Linked DNA regions of Daphnia pulex. The protein of the gene in region 2 purifies or fractionates together with the protein of the main gene of each other region. This does not show direct contact. Links are inferred from orthologs where the notes say so. Each region holds a gene or a part of one and is shown on either strand. Other genes may lie near its edges.

Region 1 (4,606 bases), on a different chromosome or scaffold from region 2:
AAAGTGTTCGTCAATCGAGTCAAACCGAAGCATAGTTCTTTGCCCGTTTCTGCAATGTCCTAAAAAGAGAAAAATAGTCGAACGGCTTGGAAAATTTCAATCGACAATGTAGTCGTTCTTCTCAGTCGACGTGACGACAACAGATAAATATGGTTCAGTTTGGAAATTATGAAATTATCGCGCAACCCAAAGAAACTATATAATAATTTAGCATGCCCATTCATTTATGGCAATGAATACACGCCTCCGATTATCGAGTGCGTGATTATTTAATTCAGAAAACTCTTCCTGTTTGAACCGCTCTTCATTTTTGACGCTAGATGGTAGAGGCATTCAATGTTGTCCTTTCTTGCGGATTGCCATTGGGCAGCGCAACAGAATTCCCGTCACAAGGATTTTTTTTTTTTTTTGGTCGAAAGTAAATCGACGGAAAACGTGTTTTGTTGGTCACACAATAGAATATCCAATCCACCTACCTTAGGGTTTGGAACCCCTAAGGCGATGTACAAATAGAAATTGAAAATGGGGAGGAAATGACCAGCTGTCTTTGCTTGTGAATCGAATAGAACTGAAAATTCCGGTGGTACATGACACTTACACTTCGCTTTATGAGGTTGATGAAGGTCAACGTACACAATAAACCATAAAAGAGGGGACGAAACTTTCTTTGATTTTGACCTATTTTTGGAATGATATTGCTTTTGCGCTTTGATTAATTCAACATGCGAAAAACCATTAAAGCCTTTACTCGATCGTCGTTCGATTTGATGAGCGTAATGGAAATACAGTTAAACAAACTTTTTTGTTTGACCTTCAAGACAGTTTTTGACCAATATGTTGCTAGAAATCTAGGATCCAAGTGCCCATCAGTACATTTCTCAGTTAGAAGCGTTAGAAGAGAAAAAATCACACATGAAGTAGTAATGAGGCTAGAAAAAACCTAAACGATCGAATCCATTCGTATACGATGGTAAATGTAGGAGTACTTAGAAAACCTGATTCCTTACTCATTGGTTAACACCTTTAAGTGTTTGAATAATGCTTATTTATAAAATTAAATAAAGGCAGTGTAGACAAGTCATTTTTCATTTATTCGAGTAATTAAACACGAATTAGATTTTTTTATTCAAAACGCCAAACTTTGGGCAGTAAGAGGTTCAGTTATTCTTTAGCATCATCACCAGTCCCAAGTCATACAAACATACACAGGGAAATTTTAAGTTATACAAATCTATTTCGCAAGTAGCAGTCAGACCGGACGATTAACCATTTGTTGGTTTTCGGTTGAACGTGAAAACACAACCACACGAAATTTGAATTGTAACACACTACAATAATCTGACACACACCAGGGAAATCATGAAAAAAAAAAAAATAATAAATAAATGAAGAATGGGAAAATACGGGAATGTTTTAAGTCAGAGCGGTATTCCCAACGCAACCTTTGTACACTGAATTTTGGGATTCTTTTACAACAACATCCTTTCTTGGTTGGCAAAACGCATTTGCCTGTAGAAATTGATTCACACAAAGAAATTTTCTGTTTAGGAGAGGGGGACAGGCGACAGTTAGCCATCCAAGGGAGGACCCAGGTAGACCATTGAGACTTCTGTGTGCCCATAGACTGCCGACACCGAAGGGTATAAGAGCTTCTCTGGTAAGCCCCTAAACGCCACTCCGAGGAATTCATAGTTTCTTTCGAAAGCTAATGTATTGTCATCACAGTCAAGAATGACTCGTATCCGCTCCCCAACCTGCAACAAAACTTTAGGTTAGGTTGATTCAACTCATTCATTGGTTAGACTCAATCACTTGGTATTTAGGTGCATTGTTCAGCATTGGGTAATTGCCTTGGGAATCTCCATTATGAAGTAAATGATTATCAACCAAATTCCAACCCCAACTTTGGTCATCTGATCCTAGTAAAGCTATGTATCCATGTGTCTGTGAACATGGATTTTGACAATTATTTTTAGATAAAATATTCAAATTTTAACACAATTATACCTGGAGAGTTGCTTCTTTAGTTGCAATTCCAACAACTGCAACTGTTCCAAGAGGACCTTCCCACATCACTTCCCAGGCATGCCTACCTTGACTGAATCCTGCACAAACATTAGTTGAATGGATTAATATGTACACTTGCAACAGGCATCTACAATATTTAGTACTCACCAATTTTACCTCTCACAGCATCTGTACTCTGTGCAACAGGGTTTCTGTGTATGGTAAAACCATTGGGTTTGATATAAATGTTTCTAGAGCAGTCTTCTGGGTTCCAAGCATGGTGAAATGCTTTTAATTTTGTTTTGTAGGTAGGAGCGGAAGATAGGAGGTCTGAGCTCAGGACTTCTTCTGCCAGTTTTCGTATGCAGTGCAGTCTCCAGACATCATTGTCCTCATCATTCAGTATACTGATTCAAATAATAATGTGCAAGGAGAACATAAGTTTCAAACAATCGCTGGTTTTGTTAGCAACGGTAGATCACTAGCGAATAGTCACAAACTGGTGTTGATTTCAAGAAAACTTGTACCTGTACCACCGTTTGCACACCAACGAACTGCTTCTTAAATCCTGCAGCGGCAAATATGAGAAAATATTTCCTAGTATAATATCTGGTAGTATATCCACGTGCATTCTAAACGCCGGCTCGCAAACACTTCAACATTCATTTAGGAAATTTCTTTCGATTTTTTCTGCAATTGACAATACTTCTATGGCAGAACCGGTGTTGCCACATTGCCATAGCAATTGATCTGAAATAAGAAAACCGAACAAAAATTATGAGAATCTAAACAACTTGATAAAACACTGAATTACACCTGTGAAAAAACGATATATTAATATCAAACTACTTTTTTACTAGTTTTTAAGATAAAATAATATTTTAGTTTATGTTTGAAATGGTTCCCGCGTATCCGGAAAAGCAGACGACGTTTGATTTTACTTAGCCTTCTGATTTATGATTTCATTCATATTCATGCTCGATTTCAATAAAAATTTAACGCTTTTCCCATGAAATTAATCAAATTAGCACTTAGTTATTACGATACATTTATTACGATAACTGTATTAACAGCCAAATTAAAAAAATAGACCAATTTAAAAGAGCGAAATAAAAAAAATATATTTCAGAAATTAATAAAATAAAATAACGAAATCGCTGAACACTTGCCTGCGCTTAATTAATTTCCTCTTTCTCCTTCATGTTTTAGCGCTACTTAGTATTTTACATGAATATTTGAAAAAGAGAAAAGGAGAAATTAAACGAGCAAGGAAAATCGAAAATCATTTGTTCATATTTTTGTTCTCACCCAACGACCCAAGGTCACGAGTTTGTTTGAATTTCGAATTTCTGCCCGTTGAAAGTATCGATTTTTTTTTCATTGCAAATTGCGATAGATAGAAAGCGAACTCATGGAGAAGTTAGAATTGAATTGAATCCCAGTCTCATATGACGTACATATAAGACGCTCACTCAGTAAACCCCCCGGACGAAAAAATAAAGAAAAAAAAAATATAATAAAAACTAAGCCGTTGGCCTGCTGTGCCATCATCACCCCCTCGTGCATTTTTGCCTAGCTGCCTGCTGATGCTACAGCAGTGTGTGTCTAGTGACGATCGTATAAAGTTGGCCCAGAACCTTAGGTAAACCCTATTGTCTCTTTTGTTTTGGATTGAGGGGATTTTTATTTTTTATTCATAAAGTGAATTAGATAATAAAGGAGGATACTATTTGTCATTGAGCTTGGAAAGTTTAAGTGAAGATGTCTGCAAAAATCTTAAAATAAGGGGGAAAACTTACCGGTGTGGGGTATCGACTGGTGATGGCGTTTTGGGCGCCATTTCGCTCATCGTGTTCTGAAATCATTTGGAGGAATAAATACGGGGAATTTCCATTTTAGTCTATTTAGATTCTATCATAGTTCTATATGAAATTTGATGATATCTGTAATTTGACAGGAAGTTCGAATTATAACGGCGCTCAGTTGATCATACTTTTGGTCCCACCCACCAAAGATGCTTGTTTGACAAAACATTGTCAGCACATTGGATCTTCCTTGATCTCTTCTCTTTACAGTTAAATAATATAAATAAATTTACAAGAGGTTAAGGAGATGGCACAGTCAACCCCAACTGGAAACATCACCAACATTTGGATCCAAGATGCAAATGGTATGTCAAAGTCTAGACTAAGAAATTATCTCATTCTTTTCAACAAGATAATAAAATGATGGTTGTTTGCATTCCAGGTCAGCCACAAATGATAAAAGTGGTGCATGCCACTGCTGGAAAAGGTGTTCCAGTGTCCATGGCTTCTGGAGCAGTTAGAGCTGTTCTGCGATCTAATGTAAGTCAAGGATGTGCTTGAATAAAATGTAAAAGATGTTAACAATGTTGGCTGAAAATTTGTTTAGGGAACCGTTTTGGCTGCCACACCTCAGATGTTGCAGTCACTTGGCAGAGTGACAAGAGCACCTGGACCTCGTGGACAAGTGGCAGCTGGACAGATACTAGCCATACCATTATCATCAGGAAATGGATCTACTCCGAGTAACAAAAACACTGCTGTACAGTTACCAGTAGTGCCTGTTGTGTTGAGCA
Region 2 (4,673 bases):
AAAATAAATCAAGGTCATTTAGACCCACTAGCGATTACGCACCAGGGATTTAGATAAGGTGCATGCAAAATTGACAAGTATGTTCAACACAAATAGGAAAGCAAGCCGATAACAAAATGAGGAAAAAAAGTAGAGATCTGGTTTAAAAAAGAGATAAGAAACTTGGGTATCTTTTCGAGCAACGTATAACATGTAACAATTTTATCCAGTCTTTTTATTTGGTCATGAATAGATCGGCTTTGCGTTTGCATGTCTTGTGCTGCATTGGGCCTCACTTGATAGCAGCATTTATTTCACTTCGTTACGATATCAAATCATGGTATGATACTATTTCAGCAACATCTGTCGTTCTCACAACCTTTGTTGTGTTCTCAACCAACAAATTTTTCTTCCGCGGCACAACCCATATTGCGTGTGTCCTTCTTGGAGTCGTCAGGTAAAAAAAATCAATAAAAAAAATTCTCCTTTTGTCAATGTTCAAACTCAAATACAGTAATTCTGTCTTAGTCATGAAGTTTCACGGCAGTCTCGCAGCACTGATTGGAATCGACTGGCCAATCCTGAAATTCTTGGTTTCTATTTGTGTATGGCACACGTGACTAAAGGTAATCACTACCGATATTTAAAAATTTTATGTGCTTATTGCAACCCACTCTACTACCAGGGATAGCCACTTTCATCAAATTGATGCCAACGGCAAGCGTCGTTAGCTGTCCTTCAAAATACGTTGCTAGTTGGAGAGATTATGTCGGTTTCAGCATGTCCATAATTTCCAGCTGCTATTTTTTACAGGAACCTAACATTTATCGCAACGAAAAGGTTTCTATCCTACTTCTGATCAGTCACTAAATCGGAATAACGTTGTTTTTCTTTGATCAGAGAATGATCGCGTGGAGACTGACTTTCGCCAAAATTGAAACACTCCATTGGGCCGGACTAGCTCTGAGTGCATCAACCAATTTTGAACGCTATGGATGGCTCCTAATTTTGTTTACTTCACTTCAATCGCTACTAGCTTTTAGTTTCTTCTATCAATTACAAAAACTAGATCCGATGTGAATACTGTAAATTAATACTAAGAGACGTGGGCCAAAACATTTACCTGCGATAAGAGTTCGAAGCAATACGAATCAGAGATCCGTGAATTAACGTAGCCGGCATCGTGATTTATAGCATCGGTTCCAGTTAAAGTGTCATTTTGTTGTTCCAATTGTAGCAAAGCATCCCATTCTTCTTTCAACCGAACGGTTTCCCGCTGAATGCCATGCAATATGTGAGTGCACACTTGGCGTTGCAAGTGAGTCAACTTCTTGCCGCTGAACAATATTCCAACCTGTTCAAACAAATTCATAATAATAAATATACTGAGCATATTTAAATAGCACAAAAAAAAAATTGAAACAGTAGATATTGCCATACCATGTGCTCTTTCAAATCAATATCCCGAGTCCTTTCAGCTATTTCTCCATCCATTTCATCTTCATTGGGTCCACGATCGGTAGAACGTGAAGGAGAGGCATCTCCCTCGTTTAAAATCAGCCGACCGAAGACCTGGAAAATAAGAAATTGCAACGTAATTAGTGTTATGTTAACTAAACTCACGAATCGTAGGTCAACTTTTCAAAACAAATACCTGTGAGGTCAATAAACGAAACACTCGCAGTGTTTCCGTCTCGCACGTTCGTTGATGAATGGCTAAAGCGTTGAAGGACCGAGAGATACCTCCACCCAGCAAGCGAACTTGACGAATGCGAAGCGAGTTATCGGGCCCTTTCAACTCAAGCTGGATGATCTGGAAGTTGATTTCTATAGTAAAGAAATGATTCAAATCATGATTTAATTCCTAATGGCGACAATTCAAATAAAACGCATACGAGGTAGGGAAGTATGAAGCCACCCAGAAAATCGAGTTTCTACTTCTAAGACGTCCACGATTTGCAGCTCTTCTCCATTTGGTCCGGCTTTGAAAGTCACTCCAGAAACTTTGTTCTAAGAAAAGAATAAATAACATGATAATTAAAGAGGATTTTACGAGGATTTAATAAAAATCTATAAAAACTAAGAAATGGATAACTCACCCCCATATCTCGACTGTTATCGACATATAAACAAACAATGCGTGGTGGAAATCCAGCCGTTTCAGGACAAACTTGGATGGTTATGAGTTTCATTTTACCCCGGTCCTCGTCGCCTGATTCCCAGAAGGTTTCGGTCGAGCCATCAGTCAAACTATTTACCATGGCAGTGCGGCTAGACACCTTAATGTCTATTCCCTCTGTGACTTCAGTCAACATCGTCACATGCCCAGCTGAATGAATTGCAGTATTTTCTAATGCTTCGATATCGACAGTTGCTTCCTCTTCACAACGCGAAAGAATTCGACTGATGTTGCTAAATACGTGGCTCCTAGGTGCACGAAAAAAGACAAATCATTAAGAAACGGACAGCTTTCTACATATTAATTCATCAGTTTTTAACTCACTTGTGAAGAAATGCGTGATCGGTTTGCTTGAATCGAATGTCCCAACAACGGACGGCCATCGCAAGTAGAGGTGTGCCCATCGGGAGTAGTTGCATCAGATTAGATACCGTTTGTAGAAGACCGTGAAACGACTGCAGTAGCGGCGATAATCCTTCTCCAGCTAAACTGACGTCTGAAGTTGGATGCTGTCCTACTAAGTTGTCTTTGCTTGTCGATCCATCAGCTCCCCCAGTCTCCACTTTGTTGTTGGCTGTTTCCAGAGACGGAGCAAGTGACGATACTAACCACCAGAGAAGATCATGCAAGCACACTGGCTGAGTGACGTTTTGCAGGAGCCACGACAAATTCTAATGGATAAACAATATAACATAATGATTTTCCAAGTGATAAGACTTTATCAAGTGATGACACACCTCCATTGCAAAGACACGGCAAGAGGCTTTTCGCAACGCCAGCTCCATGGAAGTCCGAAGAGAGTCAAGATCATGTCGCTGAGCAACAAAATCTAAAACCGGCAATGTCGATTGTGTTGCCGCATGGTCATGAGATCCGGACATTAACTTAACGGTATCTTGGAGAGCTTTGGAGGGTGAACGCAAAAGCGCTAAACCTCCGTCGATTCCTTGTTCATCAGCGCTGCTGGTTCGTCTCCTCTGCGATACTCCAGTGATGGAACCGTCCGGCTCTTGAGATGATCTCAGATGTTGGGCAAGTGGCTGTGTAATCATAGAGACCGATCGATGTAACTGCCTGCCGAACCCATCGCAACTTTCTTTTATTCCTCGACAAGGATCCATCTTTTGAAATAGAAAACTGTCAAACACAAAATCATTAAACTTATCACTTGATATGTAATACTTCAAAGGAATTTTCCACTTCTCCATCGCCGAAATTAACTTCGTTGTTGGACAGCTGAGGGCTGCATCCCGATTTAAGAACGGGAAGACATTGAAATTGAAGCCAAGGGAAAATATCACCTGACGCTTGGTATCCACTCTAGAAATGGGACAAAGAAAAATTAGTAAATAATAATCTGCTTTAAAAACGAAATCGAAACAGCAACACTGCAAAGATTTTCACCTTGGAAGGTGGGGCTGAAATCTTTCTGTTTGACAAATCCTTGTCAATTTCGGAGACTGAACTAAGTGACGGCTGATGCATTAGGCTCCTTCTTCTTCGTTCCAGTATTTGTTGATTCTTTTCAGGACTGGACGACGTAGCTAGTTGCAATAAGAAAAGAGCGTTGTCTTTGAGAATGACGTGTGTCTCCAATGGTGTTGAGGGTCTTAACAGTTGGGTCGTGGGTGTGGTAGTTGAAGTGATTGATACTTTTCTTCTCAATCGCTTGCCCTTGTCATCTTTAAGGCCGAATGCTTCACCCACTTGTCTCCTCTGTTGCAAGTACCGATGTCGACAATCCTCGCACAATAAGTACCACGAACTTCCCTATAAGACCAACACAAAAATAAGCTAGAATTAATTTCCATATCAACTGAGGAATCCAATTTGGATCTAACCTGAATGCCTCCTTCGCCACAATTTCCTACCCAGCCCCCGCAGTACTGTCCGTCGGGGTTGTAACCCAATCCAAGGGCTGGCTTCTGACAGCCTGGATGAGCTTGTCTCATGTGAGCGGTTACAGGCACGGCAAACAATCCGCCGCATAGTTCACAGTTAGATTCCGGTCGGATGCTCTCTCTACGGGACTTGCGTTTTCGCTCTTTATCGCGTGCATCTCTGTTTTCAGTTTTCGGTTTAGCCTTGGACACGCTCTCATTCTGGAACTGGGCGACACTGAGCGTCGAGGATGAAGCCGTCGGCTCAGACTGTATCAACTCAACACAACGCCCGCTCATCTTTTCCCAAAGTTCGACCAGGAGGCTAAGTGTTGGAGTTAAAGACGATGCCACTTTGTTGTCAGGAACATCCGGTTGTATCTGATGATTGCTTGCCGATTCCCCTCGTTCCGTGTTCCAACTCTCTTCTAACGCTACCGGCAGTGGAGATGCAAACGGCCCTGATAGCATATTAGTAGAAAAGATTTCGACCGAGTGCCGTTGGCGCGCTTTCTCCTCTCGTGTCTTGCGATGTCGAGGATCTCCGCGCAGTGGTACAATCGGGTCCACTTGCTTGGGTAAATTGGGATGAAACTTCAAGAAGGAAGCGCAAGCCATAGCGTCGTGAACCAATC

What was found. The genes of interacting proteins can lie anywhere in the genome.
Region 1: the proteins of E3 ubiquitin-protein ligase MYCBP2-like (region 2) and F-box/SPRY domain-containing protein 1-like purify together in Caenorhabditis elegans (affinity purification with western blotting; 3 studies listed by BioGRID). This does not show direct contact. The link is inferred for Daphnia pulex from reciprocal best matches to the Caenorhabditis elegans genes rpm-1 and fsn-1.

The regions. Positions count from the first base shown.
Region 1 is NC_060023.1:5,715,498-5,720,103, forward strand, and holds F-box/SPRY domain-containing protein 1-like, read right to left. Parts: upstream 2,735-4,606; 5' UTR 2,639-2,734; coding exon 2,535-2,638; intron 2,415-2,534; coding exon 2,176-2,414; intron 2,106-2,175; coding exon 2,008-2,105; intron 1,945-2,007; coding exon 1,813-1,944; intron 1,755-1,812; coding exon 1,569-1,754; 3' UTR 1,071-1,568; downstream 1-1,070. Other genes in the region: WD repeat-containing protein 44-like, read left to right, coding at 1-63; transcription factor Dp-1-like, read left to right, coding at 4,120-4,177, 4,255-4,352, 4,420-4,606. UniProt on the Caenorhabditis elegans protein: Component of a SCF (SKP1-CUL1-F-box protein) E3 ubiquitin ligase complex which is required for the restriction and/or maturation of synapses in GABAergic neuromuscular junction (NMJ) presynaptic neurons.
Region 2 is NC_060019.1:11,808,426-11,813,098, forward strand, and holds part of E3 ubiquitin-protein ligase MYCBP2-like, read right to left. Parts: coding exon 4,000-4,673; intron 3,929-3,999; coding exon 3,563-3,928; intron 3,479-3,562; coding exon 3,341-3,478; intron 3,280-3,340; coding exon 2,896-3,279; intron 2,830-2,895; coding exon 2,483-2,829; intron 2,407-2,482; coding exon 2,079-2,406; intron 1,990-2,078; coding exon 1,875-1,989; intron 1,807-1,874; coding exon 1,634-1,806; intron 1,552-1,633; coding exon 1,420-1,551; intron 1,334-1,419; coding exon 1,103-1,333; exon of another isoform or gene 1,060-1,102; coding exon of another isoform or gene 880-1,059; intron 820-879; coding exon of another isoform or gene 665-819; intron 606-664; coding exon of another isoform or gene 508-605; intron 437-507; coding exon of another isoform or gene 225-436; exon of another isoform or gene 164-224; intron 1-163. Other genes in the region: uncharacterized protein LOC124191239, read left to right, coding at 225-436, 508-605, 665-819, 880-1,059.